Linked DNA regions of Lonchura striata. The protein of the gene in region 3 interacts with the protein of the main gene of each other region in a pairwise test. Links are inferred from orthologs where the notes say so. Each region holds a gene or a part of one and is shown on either strand. Other genes may lie near its edges.

What was found. The genes of interacting proteins can lie anywhere in the genome.
Region 1: the proteins of PRKAB2 (region 3) and PSMD11 interact in binary tests that used the Homo sapiens proteins (3 or more experiments, as listed by UniProt). The link is inferred for Lonchura striata from reciprocal best matches to the Homo sapiens genes PRKAB2 and PSMD11.
Region 2: the proteins of PRKAB2 (region 3) and UBXN11 interact in binary tests that used the Homo sapiens proteins (3 or more experiments, as listed by UniProt). The link is inferred for Lonchura striata from reciprocal best matches to the Homo sapiens genes PRKAB2 and UBXN11.

What each region holds. Positions count from the first base shown.
Region 1 is NC_134627.1:2,666,949-2,674,659, reverse strand, and holds the start of PSMD11 (26S proteasome non-ATPase regulatory subunit 11), read right to left. Parts: upstream 3,006-7,711; 5' UTR 2,949-3,005; coding exon 2,858-2,948; intron 1,267-2,857; coding exon 1,165-1,266; intron 1-1,164.
Region 2 is NC_134628.1:342,303-349,972, reverse strand, and holds the start of UBXN11 (UBX domain-containing protein 11), read right to left. Parts: upstream 3,006-7,670; coding exon 2,903-3,005; intron 2,724-2,902; coding exon 2,623-2,723; intron 1,884-2,622; coding exon 1,829-1,883; intron 1,033-1,828; coding exon 959-1,032; intron 535-958; coding exon 423-534; intron 1-422. UniProt on the Homo sapiens protein: May be involved in the reorganization of actin cytoskeleton mediated by RND1, RND2 and RND3. Promotes RHOA activation mediated by GNA12 and GNA13.
Region 3 is NC_134611.1:143,041-150,465, forward strand, and holds the start of PRKAB2 (5'-AMP-activated protein kinase subunit beta-2), read right to left. Parts: upstream 3,016-7,425; 5' UTR 2,954-3,015; intron 2,653-2,953; exon of another isoform or gene 767-2,652; intron 710-766; exon of another isoform or gene 686-709; intron 423-685; 5' UTR 407-422; coding exon 245-406; intron 14-244; coding exon 1-13. Other genes in the region: flavin-containing monooxygenase 5-like, read right to left, coding at 4,312-4,669, 4,761-4,833, 5,232-5,581, 5,671-5,867, 6,103-6,245, 6,913-7,075, 7,152-7,340. UniProt on the Homo sapiens protein: Non-catalytic subunit of AMP-activated protein kinase (AMPK), an energy sensor protein kinase that plays a key role in regulating cellular energy metabolism.

The DNA.
Region 1 (7,711 bases), on a different chromosome or scaffold from region 3:
GCCCAGCCATGTTTGGTGATCTCTGGTGAGCAAGCACCAGGGTGCAAAGGGCACTGGCACAGCACAGACACCCACACTGAGCTCCTGACTTCAGCCAGGAAAGGGACACTTGCCCAGCAGCTTCCTCTGTCCTGCAGGAGCAGGAAAACCCTGTGCTGGAGGGGTTTATTTTTCCCCACAGACTCTAAAAGCAGCCCCCAGCAGGAGTAAGAGGTGAACACCTGAGCGAGGTGACAAGAACAGCACCTCTCAGGACCAGTCACCCACTGTCCCCAGCCCTGCCCAAGTGCCATCCACAGTGGATCAGGGCTGGAATGCTCATTCCAGCCCAGGGCAGTGACATGGCCCAGCCCAACGGGAGCTTCCCAAGCCCAGTGGGACACCAAGGGACATTTCACAATAGATACAAACTGTGACCTGGAGCTGTGGCTGAACAGCCAGGAACTTTCCATGAGCTATTCTGAAGTCAGGCCCCTTCCAGTGGGACTGAACCTGCTGCTGGGTGCTTTCCTCACCCTGTGCCAGACTTGCAAGTAAACATTTCCACTGCCCAGGGCTGCAGCCCAAGCCCAGAACACTCTGGGCACAGACACAGAGAGTCCTGACATGCTCCAGGAATAAAACACAGCCCTAGACTGCAAAACAACCAACTGCTGCCTTGAGCTCTCCAGGAAACAGGAGAGAGGAAAGACTCAAAATCATCACTGAACAGAGAACTCGACTCCATCCCTGTCCCCTCACACACTCACAATAGAGGGACTGTCCCCTGCAGAGCTGGACAGGGGCTGCTGATGTAATGGCCAGCAGATAAATCAATTGATTGTGAGAGGAGCTGCGGGTAAGAGAGAATTTCATGGGACAAACTTTCCTGTTTGAAACCATCCAGGAGACACCTCTCATCTCAAACAAAAGAACTAAGTAAAACTTTAGTCACCCACACTGAAACAGCCCCACAGACTGAACTGTGCATCGTTTGGAACACTGGGCCAAGCAACACCAGATTGATATTTATGTTCTTTATTTGATTTTTAGTTTCTGTCCTGTCTCGGAGAGAAAATTGCCTGCCAAAAGCTGTTTTTCCAGCTATACCACTAAGTAAGGAGACTAAATGCATTGGCTGCAGGATCTGCTGCCTGTTACCTCAATTCCTGATTTCAGGCTCACCTTCTGCCTGCCCAGTCTTGGCCAGCAGTGACCCCAACTCCAGGATGCTCTGCTCTTTGACTTGCACTGCTTCCTCATCGTTTTCCTGGACATCACGTTTCACTGGGAAGAAAAAGAGCAGGAAAGTTGCCTTTAGTGGTGTTTCAGGTGGAAAACCATCCCTGCTGGTCAGCTCCTGGAGAAGTGCCCAGAGCAGGACCTGCTCCAACAGGCACCAGGGAGCTCAGCCTAGCCCAGGAGGTCTGGGAAGTTTAAATCCAGTGCAGGGAAGTTTGCAGTGCTTTGTCGGTGCTCCACAGGGGCTTTACTAGCCCACAGACTCCCCCCTACTCACTCCAGCTCCAGGTCTGAACAATCTCAGCTTGTCCAGCTATGCAAGTATCACTCAGAACCAACACCACACACCAGAGCATACTGGAGCCACAGGACCAAATAAGAGACATTGAATGGCATTTCTGAGGTTGGACACTCCACTCTGGGATTGCTGATGTTGCTGCTTTGTGTATGAAGCTGAGATCCCGTGGACAAAGTGCAGCACAAGCAAAGTGAGGTGGGTACACCTCTCCCCACTTTGGTGTCTCACCTGCCAGTGCCGAGTCCTGGCAGTGCCACCACCCTCTGCTCCAGGGAGTGACTCTGCTCTGAGGCAGATCAAGAACAAGCGACAGCAGCACAATTCGAGCACAGCACCAGCTCCGTGCGAGTTATCCACCACGCAGGGCCCTTCCCTCCCTGCCACCACCCCAGCACAGGGAGCTGCTCCAGCCTGCACACAAACAGAGCCCAAATCCCGCCTCTAGGGAACTGCAACTGCAGCTCTCATCCCCTGCAATTCCCTACCAAAAGCGAGGGAACTTTGATCTCCAAGAGAAAAGTATCACAGCAACATTGTCTGGGCCACTCCTGATGCTCCCCACCCACACCACGGGCTGAGCCCTGACTGAGCCCGACCCCGAGAGCGGCAGCTCCCGCTGAGCACCGAGCACACCGAGAGCTCCGACAGCACCTCCGGGCTAACGGGACGCTCGGAAAACTCCCGACACAGCGGGTGACAGCAGGGCACGGCAGCAGAACCAAGAACCCCTGCTTCCCACAGCGGTCCGCGGGCAGCGCGGCCCGGCCCGCTCGGGGTGCCCACAGCACCGACCCGTCCGCGGCAGCGCGGCCCGACGGAGCCGGAGAAGCGAACGCCAGCGAGCTCCTCCGGCCGCGGCGGAACGGGCGCTGCGGGAGCCACCATCGCTGCCGGCCCGGCCCGGGCCGTGACACCGCGCCCCAAACCGCCGCGACCCGCCCCGACGCCCCGCGCTACCGGCACCGCCGCGGCCCCGCGCGCGCCGATCGGGGGTCCCGGGCCGGCAGGCTCGTTCCAGCCGGACGGGGAGGAGCGGCCGGCCCGGCTCCGGCGCTGCTCGGAGCGGCTCCGCGGACACGCACCGGGCACCGGCCCCGCCGCCGGCTCCCGGAGCGCGGCCCCCGCTCCGCCCCGCAGCGACAGCTCCCGCCGCCCGTGCCCCCACGCGCGGGGGCCGCCGCCGGTGCCGTCCCGGCGCGGTGCAGTGCCGCGGGGCCGGGCCCAGGCCGCGCTCCCGCCGGGCGCGCACGGTGAGTCAGCAGCGGCGGCGGCGCGGGGCTCGGCGCGCCGCGGGGGGCGGCGGGGCGCGGGCGGCGCGGGCGGCGGGCCGGCGCTCACCGATGGAGTGCAGGATGCCGATGGAGGCCTCGCGGTCGGTGGAGAGCAGGGACTGCGCGCGCTGCAGCTCCAGCACCGCCGCCGCCGCCATCTTGCCGCTCCTCCGCCTCGCCGCCAGCCCGGAAGCGGCGCCGCGGCCACGCCCCTTCCGCGCGCGCGGCATGCTGGGAACTGCAGTCCCGGCGCGCGGGCGGTGCAGGGGCGGGGCCTGCGGAGGGGCGGGGCTGGGGGCGGGGTTTGCGGCACGACGCCTGCGCCGGGGCACGGGGCGCGGTCCCGGCTGAGGGCGGGGCGGGACGGAGGCGTGGCCTGATGAGCTGTGTCGGGTGGGTGGGCGTGGCCTGAGGGGGCGGGGCGGGACAGCGGGACTCGGCGGTGACGTGTGAGGGGCGGGGCTTAGGGCGTGGCCTTGGCCGGGGGCGTGGCAGAAAAATGGCGCGAGGGCACGGGAGGGGCGTGGTCCCTGGAGGGGCGTGGCCTATAAATAGGCGGGAAGCCGCGTGACGTGGGCGTGTCTATGGGAAGGGTGACGTCATTAGTGGGCGTGTCCCGGGCCGCGGTGTCTCCCGGGCCCGCGCCGGTCGCGTCCCCGGGAAGGAGCGGGGGGCGCCGGGTCCCGGGCCCCGAGCGGGACTCTGCGGGGTCCGCGGCACCGGGAAGGCCGCTGGGGCTGGGAGGGGGCGTGCGGGGTCCCGCCCGGAGCATCCCCCAGCCGTGGGTCCGGTGCTGGGGGTCCCCGAGGATCCACATCCCCGCGGCCCCCTCAGCGCCCCGGACAGCTTCGGGGAGGGAAGAGAGCCCAGCAGGGCCATGGCACCTGTGGAGGAGTCTGTCCCCGTGTCCCCGAGGCGGATCCTGTCCCCACCCCACCAGGGGGACGCTGTCCCGCTCCCAGTGCCCGACCGGGCCGCACTCGGTGGGACCGGTCCTTCCCGTTGTGTTCCCGGTGCTGCCCCCTCCCCTCCCGGCCCCTTTTCCTGCTCCAGGAGCGCTGCCCGCAGCAGGGGCTGGGCTGGGGGGAAACCCGGCCTTGCACCCTCCGCTGCTCAGAAAACAGCCCCCACATCACCGCTGAGCTCCCCAAACCCACCCACGGCCAAGCCCGTCCTGCTGTGTCCCCCGCACGCCCGGACGAGCAGCCCCAGACCGGCCCCTTTCTGCCGCTGGAAAAGCCAATTTAATGCCTGAAAGAGTCCGCTTTATATTAAACGGGAAATAAAACCAAAACCCTGCCCCTGGCTGCTCCTGGGAAGTCATGTCAGTGTGGGATCCCAATCTCACCGTGAGATCCCAAGGTCACTCTCGGATCCCAATGTCACTGTGGGATGCCCCAGGCGGTGCCAGCCTGGGGACAGCCACAGGAGGTGGCTCTGAAGCAGCGACTGAGGCCCCCTTCAGCAGCCACGTTTTGGTGCCCAGCAGATGAAGTTTAATGGGTCAGGAGTGTCTCTGTGGAACTGGGGGGCTGAGGGGGATGTTCAACCTCCTCCTCTGCCTCCCTGCAGTGGGAAAAGCCAGGAGAGCAGCCAGTGGGATCCCTGGCACTGAGACCTGACCCACCCACCCCAGCTCATCACACTGATGGCAGCCAGATCCTGCAGCACCGGAATGGACCCAGCCCTCCAAATACCACATAAGAAAACTCTCAAAAATGGGGAGATGATGCCTAAAATACCTAAAAGGAGGGTTCAGAGGGTAATAGAGCGGGGATTTTGATGAAGGAAAAGCTAGGGACCTGTGGGTGAACCTTGGGGTCCATGAGCAGGAGCCTGTGTGCACCAGTCAAATCTTGGCGTTCTGGAGAGTCTTCCCATCCCGACACTGAACTTAATTTACACTGGATTTAATGAACCCACTCCAAAAGAGAACATTAAACAAGTTTTGAAACCCACATTCACCCCTGAAACCCAGTGGGCACAGGAGGAGTGTGGTGGTAGAGGGTGGTACAGTCAGAGACCCAGTCTGTCTGTCCACCTGTCCCTCCACCATCCATCCATCCATCCATCCATCCATACCTGCCATCCATCCATCCATCCATACCTGCCATCCATCCATCCATCCATCCATCCATCCTTCCATCCATCCTTCCATCCATCATCCATCCTTCCATCCATCCATCCATCCATCCATCCATCATCCATCATCCATCATCCATCCATCCATCCATCCATCCATCCATCCATCATCCATCCATCATCCATCCATCATCTATCCATCCATCCATACCTGCCATCCATCCATCCATCCATACCTGCCATCCATCCATCCATCCATCCATCCATCCATCCATCCATCCTTCCATCCATCCTTCCATCCATCATCCATCCTTCCATCCATCCATACCTGCCATCCATCTATCCATCCATCCATCCATCCATCCATCCATCCATCCATCATCCTTCCATCATCTATCCATCCATCCATACCTGCCATCCATCCATCCATCCATACCTGCCATCCATCTATCCATCCATCCATCCATCCATCATCTATCCATCCATCCATACCTGCCATCCATCCATCCATCCATACCTGCCATCCATCCATCATCCATCCATCATCCATCCATCATCTATCCATCCATCCATACCTGCCATCCATCCATCCATCCATACCTGCCATCCATCTATCCATCCATCCATCCATCCATCCATCCATCCATCCATCATCCATCATCCATCATCCATCCATCCATCCATCCATCCATCATCCATCATCCATCATCCATCCATCCATCATCATCCCTCCCTTCCCAGAGGAGGCAGACAAAGGCAAGCAGGTCATTTGCCATGCCATAATAATGGCAACAACTAATAAAAATAATGAATAATGAATAAAAGTGGGAGATTGGGCCAAGGGAATAATTTCTCCAACCTGAACCAGCTGTTCTGGGGTAAAAGCAATGGAAACAGGGAGTGGGATCAGGCAGTGTTGTGATCCTGGCAGTGCAGGGGTTAAACCCTGATGGAGGCATTCTGGGTTTTGGGGTGGCCCCAGGTGCCGTGGGGGAGCACCCCAATTTTCTGTTCTGAGGGTGCCATCCCTCCTTCCCCGGTCACTGGTTTCTCCCTGATCCATTTCCAGAGGGGCAATCAGAGCCGGATATGGGGGGCCGAGGTGGGCACGGATGAGGGGGCACCCCCAAGGTCCCTGCAGTGGTGGTGCCTTCACCCACCCAGACAGGGCAGGGACAACCCACGGGACCTCTGCGTCCCCCGAGAGCCTTCAGGGCGTCAGCAGCGACCGGGGTGAGCACAGGCACCGGAGCTGCCCACTGGGACCGAGCTGGGGATCCCCAGTGTGGGGGGAGCGACCCCGCAGCCCCTGAGGGGCACCCCCAGCCCCAGGGTGTGAACGTGTCCCTGCTGTGTCCCTTGTGTGTCCCTTGCATGTCCCTGGCGTGTCCCTCACATGTCGCTGGTGTGTCCCTGGCGTGTCCCTTGTGTATCCCTGGTGTGTCCCTGCTGTGTCCCTGCTGTGTCCCTGCTGTGTCCCTGGCGTGTCCCTGGCATGTCCCTGGCGTGTCCCTCACATGTCGCTGGTGTGTCCCTTGTGTGTCCCTGGCGTGTCCCTCGCGTGTCCCTCGCATGTCCCTGCTGTGTCCCTGCTGTGTCCCTCGCGTGTCCCTCATGTGTCACTGGCATGTCCCTGTTGTGTCCCTGCTGTGTCCCTGTTGTGTCCCCGGCGTGTCCGCGGTGTGTGGGGTTTGCGCACACGTGCGGGGTGGGGGCACACGCGGGGTGCCTGTGACGGGACAGGTCGGAGTGGGTGGCACCCCATGTGGGCAGGGGGCTGCCTAGGGACCCTCCACACACGCTCCACACAGGTGGGGAGCCCCCCGCACACACGCTCTGCTCTCCCTGCACATCCCTCTCCCCCTTGCACGACCCCCTCGCCCCCCTCCCCCCTCCCGCTCCCGCCCCATAATCGGCTCCAGCTGCACAAACATTCCCGCACCCGGAGCCGCCGCCGCCTCCGGAGCCGCCCCCGCGCCCGCCCAGACCCTCCCCCGAGCCCCCTCTGGGCCCCCTGGCCAGCCCCTCCCCCGGAGCCCCCTGGGCCCCGCCGGACCTTCCCCGGCCGAGGGGCAGCCCCGGCAAAGCCCTGCAGGACGGGGCAGGGAGGGGTCCTGGGGGGCGGGGGGAGACCGTGTCCATCCGTCCCGTTTGTGTCCATCCATCCTGAGCTTACTCATTCCGTCCTGTCCATCTACCTCACATCCACCCATTCCACACATGTGCATCCATTCGTGTCCATCCATCCATCCATGTCCATCCATCATCCATCCATCCATCCGCTTATTCCATGTGCACCCACCCCGTGTGCATCCACCCACCCATCCATGCCCATCCATCCCTTGTCTATTCACCCTGCGCTCCCTGGATGTTGGTGGGGTCCCGCATTCTCCCACCCCAGCCTCTCCAGGAGGTGCACCAGAATGGAGATGGGAGCCTGTGCACACCCACCCTGTGTCCATCCACCCCAGGCTCTCCAGGAGTTACCCAGACTGGAGATTGGGGCCATCCATCCGTCCATCCATCCATCCCCTACCCTGCAGGAGGGGCGCTGGGATGGAGCCAGGGCACCACACCCCTGAGTCCAGGGGAGGGGAGGACGCTGTGAATGGCGCAGCTCATGACACCCACTGGCCCCCAGCGCTCCTGGACAGTGCTGGGATGTGGGGGCGGCCCCACATTCCCCACTCCCCACGCTGCAGGCGCGTCGCTGTGCAGAGCCGGGATCCCAGAGGGCTCCGGGACAGTGACGGGGATGGATCCCACCCGCAGCGCGCACAGCGGCCCGGCTGGCGGCTGGGGACAGGATCCTGCGCCTGCCTTGGCACACCCGCCCGCC
Region 2 (7,670 bases), on a different chromosome or scaffold from region 3:
CCTGATGGAGCCAGGCTCTGTGGGTAAGTTACTACAGCTCCTGTGTACACAAAGCACCTGATTCCATTTTCCACCCACTCTGTGTCAATGTCATGAGATCAACCAAGCCTCAAATGTGGTTTGTGAATTCTGCAGGAGACAGCTGCTCCTCCTGAAGGGCTGAGCCATCAGGTTCTCCCCCCAGAAGGGTGTACAAAACACAGGGATATAAAACCAAACCTTCTGCTGAGCTCCTGTTAGACTGCTCCACGTCTGTGTCCCTGAGAGGGATCGACGTGAAGATCTTGGCCCAGGATCCCAAATTCTGAAGACCCAAATCCTGAGGTTTTGATGCTTTTCTACTCCCCCTTCTCTGAGCACACGGGGGGAGCTGGGCTAGCAGCTTCAGCCCAGAGTGGAGCTGGGATCTCACAGAGGTTTACCCGGCCTGCAGGGGCTCCCTGCTGGCAGCTCCTCCTCCTGGAGTGGTTCTGTGTCTCCCAGCTGGTGCCGTGCCTCTCCAACCCACACCAGGCCGTAGTCGCTCAGGAACCGCTGCAAGAGCAGAGTCGGGTGGGCTTTGGTGCCCAGAGCTCCAGAGAACTGGAAAAGGGAGCCCGAGAGGGGTCAGCTGTGGCTGTGGGAGGCACAGAGGGAGGTGGAACAGGTTTGTCTTGGCCCTGGCAGACAGACTTCCTGGCAGGGCAGTGATAGCAGCTCCATCAGCAGCAGGGCAAAGGGAGGAGATTGTAGTGCCAGGGGAACCTCCCAAGGCTGCAGGAGCTGGGCATTCCTGCAGCCCTGGCAATCAGGATGAAGCTCACAGGAGGCCCAGGTGCTGCTCACATCCAACCTGCTCCCTTTTCTCAGAGGAGAAGGGTTGTGAGGACCAAAGGGGCAGCTTGGAAAAGGCCAAACTGGGAGTGCAGTGACCCCAAACCACAGGAGAGCTGGCTCAGGGCAGGCAGAGCAGCCTCACCTCCATCTCCCAGACCTGGCTCTGCAGCCGAAGGCACCTCGCTTCCAGTTCTGTGCTGGGCGAGTCAGAAGCATCTGTAAGAGAAAAGCTGACGTTCCTCTGAAGATCTCAAGCTGTGGATCACCTGTGCCACACAGGGCAGGGCCCCAGCAGCACCTGCCTGTGCTCAGTGAACTCCCACCCGTGGGACACAGGGGCTGAAGGGGACAATTCACCCTGCAGTGGTTTGACAAGGCTGCTGGCAGGCCAAAAGACAGTTGTGAACAAGCCTGGGGAATTTAAAGCCATGGGAGCTGATGTGAGAGGTGCTGTTGGCAGGCCTACAGTGGAACTTGCTCAGCTCAGCCCTAAGGAGCCCAAAAGGAGCAGGTGCCTGCTGCAGCTGGATCCTGGAATCTTGGCTGGGTGGCAGCACGGTGCAGCAGCAGGAGCAGAGCTCGTGTCTGTGGTTTGACAGCCACATTTGAGCTCTGTGCTCAGGAAATGGAGAGCTCACCACAGCCCTGCACACAGCAGGCTGTTCAGCCCTGCAGGAAACGTCTGTGGGCTCCGGCTGGGGCTGGGAAAGCTGCTGGATGCAGGGGAAAACACCCCTGTGAGCCACTGCAAGCTGGGCTCAATCTCGAGTTCTGCTGGGCTGGAGTCCTGTGGAGACTCCAGGGGTGTGTTTGGCTGCTCCCAGCTGCGAGGAGCTGCCTTCCTGCTGCTTGAACTCGGCAGTGTTTACTGCACTCCTGCCCAGCCTGCGGTTGGCTTCGCAGCCGTGGAGGCTCCGAAACCCACACAAACAGCTCAGGATGTTTTGCAGCAGAGTAACAGACACAAATGCCTTGCTCTGCTGCCCTGCCCAGAGCTGCAGAACGATTTTACCTTCCCCTTCCTGAAGAGTCTTTATCTTCTCCTCGAGCTCGGCGATCCTCCCGGCCTTCAGGGGCAGAACAAAGGGCTGGGTCAGTTCTGGGCTCAGCCCCTCCAGGCACAGCTGGCACAATCAGGGCTGCTGCAGCTCCTCTCCCCCACCCAGCGCTGCCCAAAGGCTCAGCAGGGCTGAACCACCCCACAAACCCCTTAATGAGCCTCAAAGGAGGGCTGGGATAAATGGAGAGCTCCAGGAGTGGGTGACCCATCTCCCGTCCTCCCTCTGCACCAGGTGCTCCTGCTCAGACCTGCGGGGAGGGGCTGGTATGGAAACTAAACCAGCATCTCTGCAGCCACGTCTTAAAAAATCCAATCTGAACAGAAAGAGGTATTTATTCTAAGATTTTAAAGGTATTTATTCTAAGATTTTAAAGGGTATTTATTTATTCCAGTCAGTGATGCAGAGAGGGCTGCTCCAGTTCCACTCTCCTGTGTGAGCAGCTGCTGTTTCAGAAAACAAAAAGGGGGCATGTACCATCACAGGAGGGAAAAAAAAATTAATTCTGAAGCCAAAGAGCTGCTGATGTCAGTGCCAGGGTGCTGAGAGTCACTGCTGCAAGAAGCCCCAGCAGGGACTGTCCCCTCTGCCACCCCAAGGCCTGATCCCACTGCTCTGTTGCTTTGTAAAGGGCTCATTTGGGTAATTAACAGCAGACCACAGATGGACTCTGAGCCCACACAAGGTCTGAGAGGTGGAATTCCTGTGGCAGAGGACAGAGCAGCCTCAGCAAGAGGCTGACTTTTACCTGCAGCTGGATTTCTTGTGCTTGTTTCTCTATTTTTTTTTCCAACAGAGAGATTTTTTCTGCCAGAGAAGACGAGAGCTCCATGTCAGGGTGAGCTGCACCTGAAAACACAAATACCTGTGAGCAGGGTTCCTGGTCTGCCACAGCAGGGAGGACTTTTCGGGTAAAAATCCCTTGGTTCTGGTTGTGTGTGCGGGAGGGCAGCCACAGAAGGGGTCTGGCCGGGGGTGTCACCGAAAAGCTGCTGGGCCAGAACTCCCAGCTCCCTCAGGGGCTTTACCCTCCGTGTTGTTTTCAGTGCTGACCCCGGAGCAGGAGCGGAGGGAGCCTTGCAGGGACCCCTCGGCCCAGGCCTGGTCTGGAAACTCACCCCCCGCCGCCATCTTGTGTACAGCCGGTTGCCACGGCGACGCGAGGCGGGCCGCGATTGGTCCGGCGCTGGTCACGTGGTGGGCGCTGGAGTTCCCTGGGAACTACAATTCCCAGCGTGCACCGCGCGCGTTCTCCCGGGACACCGGCGCCGGGAATTACCGGGAGCGGGATCCATTTTTCTCCTCAGCCCCCCTCCGCACACACCCGTCAGCCTGGCCTGGGGCTCCTCCCGATTCCCTCACCTGCTCCCTCGGTCCCTGTTTCCTCAGCCGGGCCCCGCTGGTGCCCTGAGCTGCCCCAGCTCCTGTCCCCATCCCGGGAGCCTTTCCTGGGTGTCCCCATCCCACCCGGAGAGCTCGGCCTCGCCAGCTGCAGGCGAGTGGGACAGGCCAATTGTCCCCGCAGTTTTACCTCCTTTGATGGGGCGTGCACAGAACCACAGACAGGTTTGGGCTCCAGGGACCCCAAAGCCCATCCCACCCCCTGCCATGGGCAGGGACACCTCCCACTGTCCCACATTGCTCCAAACCCTGTCCAGCCCGGCCTTGGACACTGTCAGGGAGGTTGGCTGTGCTCAAGTAATTTCTACTTGCCCGAAGAGCCAAACCGAGCCAAATTTGGTGAAGCTTTTCTGCAGCAGAGCCCTCAGCTGAGGGTGGGAGCTGCAGGGAGCTCACCGTGATGTGCTTCACCAGCACGAACCCAGACAGCAGGTGTGTGTTCTCAGCACGTTCCAGTGACTTTATTCATTTCAAACCATCTTAAAATAACCAGATCCTTTCGTTTCCTGTGCTGCAGGGCGAGGGAGCTCGGAGATCTGCTGTGAGCAGATGGAGCTGGGGGATTAAAGGAAGCATTTCCCGCTTTAGGGGATTAAAGGAAGCATTTCCCCCTTTATTTAGGATCTGTAACTGAAATCCCAAGGGATGCCTTGGCTCCAGCTCCACCTGGAGGGAAGGAGGTTTATTCCTTCTGACCTGGGCTGCGATTTGCAAACCCTCCCTCCGATCCAGGGAGGGTTTCAGTCACTCTTAGTCCTTGGTGGGTGTGAGGACAGAGAGGCCCCAGGGAGAAGCAGAACCTGAGGGGTTTCAGCCTTTCCTTCAACTTTTTAACTCGGGATGCACTTTTTCTTTTCACCTACTTCTGAAAGAACACCCACTGCAGTGGGGAATTTTATTTTTATCCTTTTATCCATTTCTCCACTGCTTCCCGCCATGGCTAGCATCCTGCGCTCATCCCTTTACACCCTTTTGTCCCATTTCTCCACTTTATCTCTATTCAGCTGAAATTTCCCTGCTCTGTCACTCATCACTGCCGTGCCAGGGAGCAGGGAGCTGCTCCGGCGCCAGGGGATGCGGAGGAGCAGCTCCACGGCCCGGGCATCCCAAATCCACGGCCCGGGCATCCCAAATCCACGGCCCGGGCATCCCAAATCCACGTCCCGGGCATCCCAAATCCACGGCCCGCACATCCCAAATCCACGGCCCGCACCTTTTTCCTCGCAGCGCGGGCAGCAGCTGCGACTTCCCCAAAACCGCGCCGGTCCCGCCGCTGCTGGGGAAGGGAGGCGCGATTGGGTGCGCGGTGCCCCCGCCGGGCTTAAAGGCTCGGGGCGAACGGGGAAGTGCCACGGGAAGTGTCGGAGCCCCGCCGAGCCCCGGCCATGCCGCCCCTGCAGCGCGCCCGCCTGCTCGCCCTGCTCGCCCTGCTCGCCCTGTGCCTGGTAAGGACGAGCCCGCAGCTCTGAAAACCGCCGTGTTTGGTTTTCTCTTTGCCTCGCACCGCTGTGGTCTCAGCAAGGGATTTGTGCTGCGCTCTGCCAGGTCCCGACTCTTCCATGCGGTTCTTTTTTTCATGCCTTTCTTTGCCCTGAGGGCACCGCTCACCTCCGGAACCCTGGCAGAGCTCTCCAGCCCATCTTCCAGCCTGGCCGTGCCCGCTGTGGGGATGCTGGGCTGGAGGGGCTGCTGGACACACGCCTGTGGTTTCCTCTGGTTGTTATCGCCCTTCCTGCTGCGGGCTCCATGGGTCGAGAGCCAGGCTGAGGACATGGGGCTCTCCTGGGTGTCAGGAATGAACCCAGCAGCGCTTTTGGGGAGCATGATGCACTTTGAGGCAGCTTTTGGGATGGTTTTTTTTCTCCTACATGTTGGTAACGATGCCAGATTTGTCTGTGCTTATTTCACTCATGGAGTTCCCCACAGATGGGACCTGCTGCTGGCTCCACGGGGTGCGTGTAGATTTTGGGATTTTCCCCTCTGTAAAGCAGGCAAAAAGGACAAGAGTGTGGCAAAGGGGCAGAGCAGAGTTTTGGGCTTCGTTCCTGCTCCTTTCCCATCTCGGGAGGGACCCTGGGGAGGGGTGTAAGACAGTGTGCTTCACAGTGGGAAACGGCATCGCTTTTCCAGCAGCCAGGACAGCGTCAGAGAGGGAAAGAAACTGCCCCGAGCTTGCCACCCTGGCTGTGCTGCATTTCACACACCGACTGCACCCTGCCCGGGCTCGGGGGTCCCCCCTGCTCCTCGCACAACCCCCACCCCTCTTTTTCTTCTGCAGGGCCACGGCCCGACACCTTCTCACCACTCCCTCGCGGCAGCCAGAGGAGCAGACACCACTCCCTGGCTTCCACTTCCCCCCTAATTTCTGAACCCCCCGGGTCAGCAGCAGGGCAGCGACTCCAGGGAGAGCTCACTTCCCTCCCTGCCTTGGGACGAGCCCAAAGCCAAGAGCTGGAGTGGGAAGGGAACCTGCCAGGGGACAGGAGGCTGTTTGTCCCGCCTGGGAAGGGGCAGCGTGGGCGCCGCAGTGCCCCCAGACCCATCCCGTGAGGGGTCTCGGGGCTTTCACCGCTGCTGTGGGGAGGGATGTCTGACGCTGTTTTCCTTGCCAGGCGCTCGGCCAGGCCAAGGACACGAAAGCGAACGCGGAGGAGCTCGCTCCGCAAGATGCCGCCGCGGCGAACGCCACGGTCAGCGGCGGCCGGAGCTCGCCCGGCGCCAGCCCCCCGCTCCTGGCCGTGGCGCTGGGGGTGCTGGCAGCGCTCCTCCTGCAGCTGCGCTGAGCCGGGGGCGTCCCTGCAGCCCCCCGAAGCCCCTCCCCAGGACGGCATCACCGGCACCGCACCCGTTCCTGCCGCCACCCCCGGCCTCGGAGCGAGCCCCCGGCCCTGCGGAGCGGAGCAATAAACGCGCCGGTGCCGACACCTCGGGCTCGTTCTCCCGCTTCGGTACCGGGGTTGGTGGGGGCGCAGCACCGGCCCCTTCTCGGGGCTTCAACCCTCGGAGATGGAGGGGCCACGCCCGAGCCGGGGGGGAGAAGGCCCGGGGGTCCCCGAGTGAGCATCCCCCGGGGGTCCCCGAGTGAGCATCCCCCGGGGGTCCCCGAGTGAGCATCCCCCGGGGGTCCCCGAGTGAGCATCCCCCGGGGGTCCCCGAGTGAGCATCCCCCGGGGGTCCCCGAGTGAGCATCCCCCGGGGGTCCCCGAGTGAGCATCCCCCGGGGGTCCCCGAGCGGTTCCCGGGGATCCCGGAGCGCTCCCGGAGCAACTCCCGAGCGGTTCCGGAGATTCCCGAGCGGCTCCGGAGATTCCCGAGCGATCCCTCAGCGTTCCCCGGAGGCTCGGGCGGGGCAGCCCGCGCGGAGCCCCAGCCAATCCCGCGGCAGGGGCTGCTGCTCCCTGCCAATCCGGCGCCGCCACCTCCCGCCCTCAGCCAATCACAGCCCGACAGGGTTAATATAAATGCTGAGCGCAGGCGCCCCGCTTCCTGTGAGGGGCGGACGCGGCTCCGGTCGTGTGTCTGTGTGAGGGGGGCTCTGTAATATTGAGCGGCTTTCGCCTTCCTCAGCGTCCCTTCCTGCCGGGCCGATCCTAACCTCTAAGTCCCCCGTGTGGCTGCCTGTCCCCCTGCCCGGACTGGTCCTGGGGCAATGGAGACACGTAAAAGACGGGCGTTTGTTGCCGGAAGCCGCGGCCGGCCCAGCCGCTGGAGCCGCCTGATGTCCCCCGGCATCGCCGGGCTGTCAGCGCTGCTCCCTGCGAGGGCCGTGAGTGCTCCGTGCAGCGACCAGAGCACGCTCCTGCTGGCAGCCCTGTCCTCTCCCCAGCAGCGAGCACCGAGTTTGTCTCCATTTCCCACCCCGTGTTCCCCTGGCTCCAAGCCACATCCCCGGAGCTCCTGCTCTGGAGCCGGGTGGGGTGAGACCTGTCCTGGGCACCCGAAAGATGCGTGCCCTGAGCCGTGGTGCAGCCCTGCAGCAGGGACAGGCACCACTGCTGGCTCTGAGCTCAGCCCGCGGTGCCACGAAGGGACCCCCGAGGCCACAGCTGGGTCCCGTGGGCTGGAGCTGCCCCGCAGCCCCCGGAGCTCCCGGGCACGGCTTGGCCGGCGCCTCCCTCCTCAGAGAACGCGGCCACGGAGCTGCCTGTGCCCGTGGGCACTAGAGGGCACCGGGATCCCATCCTGGCATCGGCATCAGGGCTGGGGCAGGGGTGCTGCCAGGCTGCGGGCAGGACAAGGACACCAAGCACCCGGGCAGAGCTGGCCCAGACAAGCAGGGCTGTATCTTACACAGGTACATAAATACAGTTCAGGGGGAACAGACACTTGTGGGGAGGAGCCCCGCTGCTCTCCAGAGCGTCCCACGCTGGCCGTGTCCATGGGATCCTTCATGGA
Region 3 (7,425 bases):
TGTCCCCAGGAATCTGGGCAAAGAAGACCAGAGAGATGTGACTGAGACAGAGAGACAACTGTGAACACATTCACACAGCTGGCCTCTACAGCTGGCCTCTACCAGCCCACCTGCACATCACACACAGGAGCACCACAGAGCTCCTCCAGGCTCCCAGCTCCCCAGAGACCCCCTGCATAGCCCTACACAGGCAGTGTGCTGAGGTGCTGGAGGCCAGGCAGGGAAGGGAGCAGCCAGCCCCTACCTTGGAGTCATGGGAGCTGAAAACGCTGGGGTCGTCAGTGCTGCCCACCATGATCTTGTGCGGGTGCTCCTTGGCGGGGTGGGAGGCACCGGAGCCGTCCGAGCGGTGGGACTTGGAGCCATGGCGCTCCCCGGACACCCGCTCGCTGGTGGTGTTCCCCATGACAGCTCAGCAGCCCCTGGGAGGGAGACACAGCAACACCCTGCCTTTGCCCTCGGGCTCTGGCAGCAAGCAAAAGAGCTGTCTCCCAAATGTTCTTTGCCAGTGGAGATGAACAGCAATCCTAAAAAAGGCCCCAAATTCATTTCCACTCCCAAGTTTGGAAGCTGAATGGGAAATCAACAAACAAGAAAGCTTGACCTAATTATAGCCACATCCTTAAGAACCATCATTCTAGTTAAGCTCGTAATTGTTAAGATTCCAAAACCAGTATGACTTCACCTGCGTCCCACATCAGCCCTCGGCAGCCAACAGAGTAGAGCTGACGGGAAAAAGAAAGCAAACCATTATTGGTAAACCAACTGCCTGGCGTTAACAGAGCCTCTTTCAGAGTCCTGCAGTCAGGCTCTAGAGACAGCCCAGCAAGAAAACAGCCACAGAGTGAAAGTAGCAGCTGTTTTACAGTCCCCAACACGTCTCCAAGAGCTCGCAGGCAGAAGAGCAGAGCCTTGTGCCTGCAAAGGCGGCAGGGAGCATTTAAAGCGTCCGAATGGAATTGCCCAAGCTGGAGCTTGTCCAAGGAGCAGGGCTAATGCTGTGGTGTCTGCGAAAAGCTCAGCTCTCAGCAGCATTCACTTATGATTCACCAGGCAAGTCACTGTGTCAGCTGCAGCACAGCACACCAAGGAGGACCGTTTGTTGGGACTTAGCCAGCACCTGCCCAGCTGTCTGGAGTGACACGGTGAGGGAAGGGCAGCTCTGGCCACCTCAGTGTCCCTCTGCAGCTGAAGCTGGGTCTCCATCCCCAGTCTCACCCAGCTCAGAGAAAGCAAAACAGGAGAATTGACCAAGCCATGAACAACTACACACCTTTTAGGATAAACAACAAAGCCACTACAAGCTACACAGGACTCTTCAGGCCTTACCCTCTTTCCAGGAGCCAAGATGGACTGGAGTTTTTGCCCACTTCCAGGCTTATTTTGCAGCTTACAGCTTACCTTGGGCTCTGCAGAGCAAGCAAGGAGACAGCCAGCCTTGCTTCATGTGCTTGCTTGTGACATTTGGAGGTTTGTTTAAAAGATCAAGTTATATGAAGAGTGCCAAGCGAGGCTGCCAGCCAAATCCAGGCTTTAGAACATTATGGAGCAATTACTATGGTATTTCTTAAATCCTGAGGGCTAAAAGGCAGCTCAAGTGGGCAGCTAAGCCATACCCCCACCCCTCTCAGGGCAGATCAAGTATACCTGAAGATCCAGGTCAAATGAGCTACACCTCTTGCTCTGACACCTTCCCCCTCTGCTCTGCAGAGGCTCAGACAGCTCCTCACAAAAACTGCCCCTGTGCCACCAGATCTGCTGTTGAGGAGTTTCCTCTCCAGTATCTTCACTAAGGCTCCCTTACTTCTCATCTACAGGGAGGAAGGTGGGAAAGGCTGAACTTCCCTTGTAGCAGGACAGACCTGGGAGATATGTGCAGGTGTTAACAGGTGTGAAGCTTCCCTTTCTCTTCTCTAAAAAACCCCAGTCCCCCTGTCCCTTACAGGTCACGCTCTCCAAGCACTCCCTGAGGTTTATCCCAGGTGGTGGCTCCTGTCTGCCGTGTGCCACCTGAATCCCCGACATCACACACACAGGTACCTGGTCTGTGCCCAGACAGGTCTTTGTGCACAGTCTGCAATACCTGGCTTTGCTGAATTAACTTTTACAGCTCAAACCCTCCTGCATCCAGGCCAGCCCTTGGAGCATTAGGAGATGGTGTGAAACAGGTACACTCAAGTAATGGATGGAAATGCTGCCCACACCACAGCTCCACCAAACCTCCACGGTATCTTGGCACATCCGCTCCCAGTCTGGCAGCAAGCCCCTGCCAGCCACAGCCCACAGCAAGGTGGGCCTGCCTGCCCCATCACCAGGGCCCTTCGGTTCCAGCCAGCCCCAGCTTCTCATGTGGAAGATGACTTGTGAATTATGCCCGTTTCCCTCCCCGGGAAGCGGCCAGTGACCGCGCTGGGAAGCACGGGCAGGCAGCCCGAAGCAGGTGCGCAGAGGGATGGGCTGTGCCCAGCGGCACCGGCAGTGCATTCCCGGGGCTCTGAGGGTCCAGCACCTCGCCGGGCTGACACCGCCCAGGGAAGCCCGATCCGCCCGGATCTCCCTCTTTCGGAGACGGGAAGCAGAGCTGAGCCCTGAGGTCGCCGTGAGGGGGATGAGCTGGGAAAGCGGGGGCGGAAAATCTCCCTCCGAGCAGGCAGGGCTGGGGCTGGGGCTGGGGCTGGGGCTCTGCCCGGCGGGGGCGGCAGCGGGGCTCTCACGGCGGGCTCGGCCCACGGGCACCCGCGGGTCTGCCGCGGCCGGGGGAGGAGCGGGACACGCCGGCAGGGGCCGGGCCCTCCCGGGAGGCTGCCGGGCGGGGTCTGCACCGCTACACCGCGGGGACGCGCAGCCACGCCTCACCCACCGCCTCCCGCAGCGGCGCCCGGGGAGCCGCCACCCTCACACCCACCCTCACACCCGCCCGCCGTCCCCGGGCCCGGGCCCTGCCCGACCCCACCTGCCTCCGCCGCCGCCGCCGCCGCCCCGCTCTCCGCCTCCGTCCAAGATGGCGCCACCCCCCGCCGGCCGCTGCGGGGCGCTCTGACCCGCCCCCGCCGCGCCCCGCGGCCGCGCCCCGCCCCCGCCCCGCGGCCCGCGCCGGGCGGCCGCCATGTTCGCTGCGGGCAGGGCCGCGGCCGCCATGTTCGCTGCGGGCAGGGCCGCGGCCGCCATGTTCGCTGCGGGCAGGGCCGCGGCCGCCATGTTCGCTGCGGGCAGGGCCGCGGCCGCCATGTTCGCTGCGGGCAGGGCCGCGGCCGCCATGTTCGCTGCGGGCAGGGCCGCGGCCGCCATGTTCGCTGCGGGCAGGGCCGCGGCCGCCATGTTCGCTGCGGGCAGGGCCGCGGCCGGTGCCCGCGGCCGGGCGCTGCCCGGGACGGAGCGCGGAGTGCCGCGGCCCGGCACTGCGCTCCCCGCGGCCTGTTCCCAGTTCCTGGCCACCTCCGTGACCTGACCCATAGAGCTCCTGGGGCTGCCGGGCCGGGGCTTGGGGAGCTGCTCCCAGAGCAGCCCATGACCGCACTTGGTGGTATCGCAGCGGGAAAGCTCAACAGACCAGGCTGTGGAACAGGGATTTTTGGAATTCACTTAAGTTAGCAAAATGAATTAAGCATTTATATTCGAGCTTGTAGAGTTATGTGTTGAATTTTAACCTTTTACTTAAGAAACCTCTGCCAAGGTACAAAAGGGCATAAGAAAATGCAAATTATGAAGCTTCTTGCATAAAGAACAATAACAAAAAGGACTGAAAATACAAAGAATCTAGATAAAGAGGCTCCTGTCTCCAAACTTATCAAGAGTGACAGATGGTACTCAGATAAGCACCAAAAGACTGAAAGCACATATGCAGAGAAGAGTTCAAAAGTTCAGCCTTGAGGAAGACCTCGATCTTCAGCCTCAGAGACCACCAGAGACCTGGCAGGACCACCACAGCAAACCACACATGCATAGAAGGGCATGGACCTATATTGCACGAGAGGCAAGGACAGGCGAAGGCAGGGGTTGACTATGCATAAAAAAAGTTTTTAATGTACTATATATGGAACACCTTTGTGAATAAAGGTTTGGGTCACACCAAGGCTCAGTGCACAAGTCTTGGAGAGCAATCTCACTTGTGCCAAGCACTGGCAATACATACCCACTTCATAACTACCCCAGGTTGTGGAGTCTATTTATTTATTCCACGTATCGCTTCGGCTGCACCTTCAAGGAATGGCTCCCTCCATGCTCTGGCATAGCTAGCGAGACACAACAGACAGAAGCCCAAGGGGAACGGAGAAGGCTGCCAGCAGGACCTGCTGTCTCCTTCCCTTTAGGCTAAGGACAGAGCGAGACGTAGACGAGGGTGGCCACAATCATGCCGATGCTGAAGAGCACTGTGAGGACGTGTGGCGCGGCGCTGGGGCGGGCAGGGCGGCGGCTGGCCCGCGGCTGCAGGGCCCGGACCACGCGCTGCTGCTGGCTGAGGATGGCGGCCCTGGCTCCTGCCCACGTGCCCGGGCCCCGCAGCCGGTACTGGTACGGCGTGCAGGGACCGAAGGCCACCTCCACGGCCAGCCTGGGGTCCGTGAGGAACAGGGAGAGCAGGTTGGGCTTGACCCCCAGCTGGCAGGCGAGCTCGTCCATGTAAGGGATGTAATCCACCTGGATGGTGTGCCGCTGGCTCTTCACGTACCTGCGGGCAGGGAGGGAGGGAGGGCAGGAGGGTGTGACAGGGGGAGCGCCGGGGGTAAGGGTGGCAGGGCCCTGCTGCGCGGGGGCCTTACCGCTCAGCCATTCTCTGCTTGGTTTGTGTGATTTCGGCCAGCATGTCAGTGGGCGGCGGCAGGCCCTGCAGCCCTGGGCAAAAGGAGGCTGGAGCTGGAGGGTGGGCTGTGCTCCTGCCATAGTCTGGATGGCTCTGCAGCCCAGCCTGGCCTCTGTTTGCACGTGGGGCTTTTGGGATGTGTCATCGCGTCAGGGGCAAAGTGGGAGACATGGGCAAAGAAAGTAACAGCAGGAAAGGAAAGGGAGAATGTGGTTGGAGGCAACAGCACCAGTTAGTGACCCCCACAAGAGAAGAACAGTGCAAGAGTTGTAGCAAAGTGCAAAGTAGGGTTTTGTCCTCATGAAGAAGTAAAAGGAAAATAAAAAGATGAGTGTGGAGAGGCAGCATGTGAGGGGATGCCACCAGCAATAACTCAGTCTTGGCGTGGCTGGGGGAGCCCAGTTGCATCCCTCAAACTGCCCTGACTTACCTTTGAAGACACGGGTGGCCCAGCGACACTGGAGCTCTGAGATGGGCATGATGGCTCCTAGGGGCTGGATGAGGCCGATGAAAGCCAGTGTTGGCTTTTCCAAGTCAGGGGGGAACATGAACTTGTAGAGGGGAATCTGGTTCTCCACCACCTTCACACAGCCCTCGAGGAACGGGAAGGAGAAGCTGTATCCTGTGGCAAAAACTACGGCATCGACATCTTCCCTGGTGCCATCCTCAAAGATGGCAGATGTCTCTGTGAACTCCTGGATGTTCGGCTTCACCTGCACCCTGCCCGAAATGATGCGGTTGGGCAGGTCGTCGTTGACGGTTGGGTGCTGGTGAAAGATCCTGGAAGGCACACACAGACCTCGTTCAGGCCCTGGCAGGGGGATGGGCATTGCTGGAGCAGGTACCCAGGGTGCTGCTGGGGTGCTCACCTGTGCTTGGGCTTTAGGCCATAGAGCGTGTGGTCAAAGCGGGCATTCAGCTTCCGCTCCAGGAAGAAACTGATGATACTTGGCAGCAGGTTCTGGAGGAGCTGCGTGAAGCGGTTGATGTAGCTGAAATCAAAGGGGTACCCGCTGTCTCCCACCCGGTGCAGCACCCAGGACCCACGCCTGGTGCTGAGGAAAACCTGGAAGGAAGGAGAACGGAGGTGGTGGCATGGCAGCATGCTCAGACCGGGCTGGGCCCCTGCTGTGCTCCAGAGACAGAGAAGCCAGCACAGCTGCTGGGACCACCATAGCCACCCCCACAGAGAGGGGACAGGGTGCTTGTGCCAGGTGCTGGAGGTTAGGGAGCCCACAGGGGATGGAAGGTGATGCTCAGTGCCCTCTGGGGTCCCATTCCTGTGAGCTCTCCCAGCACACCTGCTTGGCTGTGTGGCTCAGCTCCACTGCGATATCGATGCCTGAATTCCCAACGCCAACCACAATCACCCGTTTTCCCAAAAAGGGCTGAGGGTTCTTGTAGTCGCGGCTGTGCAGGTACCAGCCCTCAAACTTTTCCAGCCCTGGAAGAGAGAGGGAAGCCATGCTGGGCTGGCTTGTGGAGCAGAGGGCGGCTGCCCCTTGTTCAGATTGGTGGTGTGTTTTGGGAACAAGCTAGAAGCAGTGTGACCAACTGGAGTTATGCAGCCCTGGGGTGGCTGCCCAGAGAGGTGGTGGCATCACCAAAATGGAGGATTCTCAGTGTAGCCCTGAGCATCCTGATCTGGCTTTGGGACTAGCCTGGCTTGGAACAGAGCTTGGACTGGAGAATTCCATGCTTCCATCCCAAAATTCTGCTGCAGATCCTGTCTGGTGCCATGCATTGCCAGTAGAGCAATAACCAGGGTTTGTGCCACCTTGCCAGACCCTGGTGACAGTGTGCTTCAACTTGTTCCCTAGCCAAAGAGGGTCTCCACAGCTGAAAGCTCTTCAGGCATTTTCTCCTGGAACCCAGAGGCAAGACCACCACCAGTGCTGAGCTCTCCAGCCTTGGTGAGGAGCTGGAGGGCCCAGCAGCTGCTTGGCCAGCAGCATGGAGAGGGAGCCTGTCTCAGGTGGGAGAGGCACGCTGGCAGTGGTGGTATCTGCCAGCAGGATGCTTGGGACACTCATGCAATCCCCCCTGGTGTGGTAAAACTGCAGAGGCATTTAGGGATGTCAGGGAGCAGGCGAGCAGCCCACAGGCAGTACCTGGGAAGGAACTGAGCGGGAGATGAGCGTCGGTGTGGTGCCCACTGCACACCAGCACGGCGTCGAAGACGGCCGCCTCCTGCTGCCCCTCGCTCTCCGTCACCACCTCCCACTGCCCGCTGCTGGCGAAGTCGGGGCGCTTGGACACGCGGCACACGCTGGTCTGGGCGCAGGGGAGCGGTGTCAGGCACCCTGTGCCCCCGTTCCCGCTGCCACCTCCCCCTTGCCCCAGCCCTCACCCTGAAGTGGATGTGGCGGAGCAGGTCGAAGTGCTGGGCGTACATGCGGAAGTACTCCATGATCTTGGAGTTGTGCATGTAGTTGGGGAAGTCCTCAGGGATGGGGAAGTCGCTGAAGCACATCATTTCCTTGGAGGTGTTGATGATGACGGAGCGGTAGATGCTGGCACGGCCGTCCTCGGGGTGCTCCTGTGGGAGCGGGGCACAGCTCAGCGCTGCTCAGGGGATGATGGGCCACCTGCCTGCCCTGCCTGGCACCTCCTCTGTGGGTGCA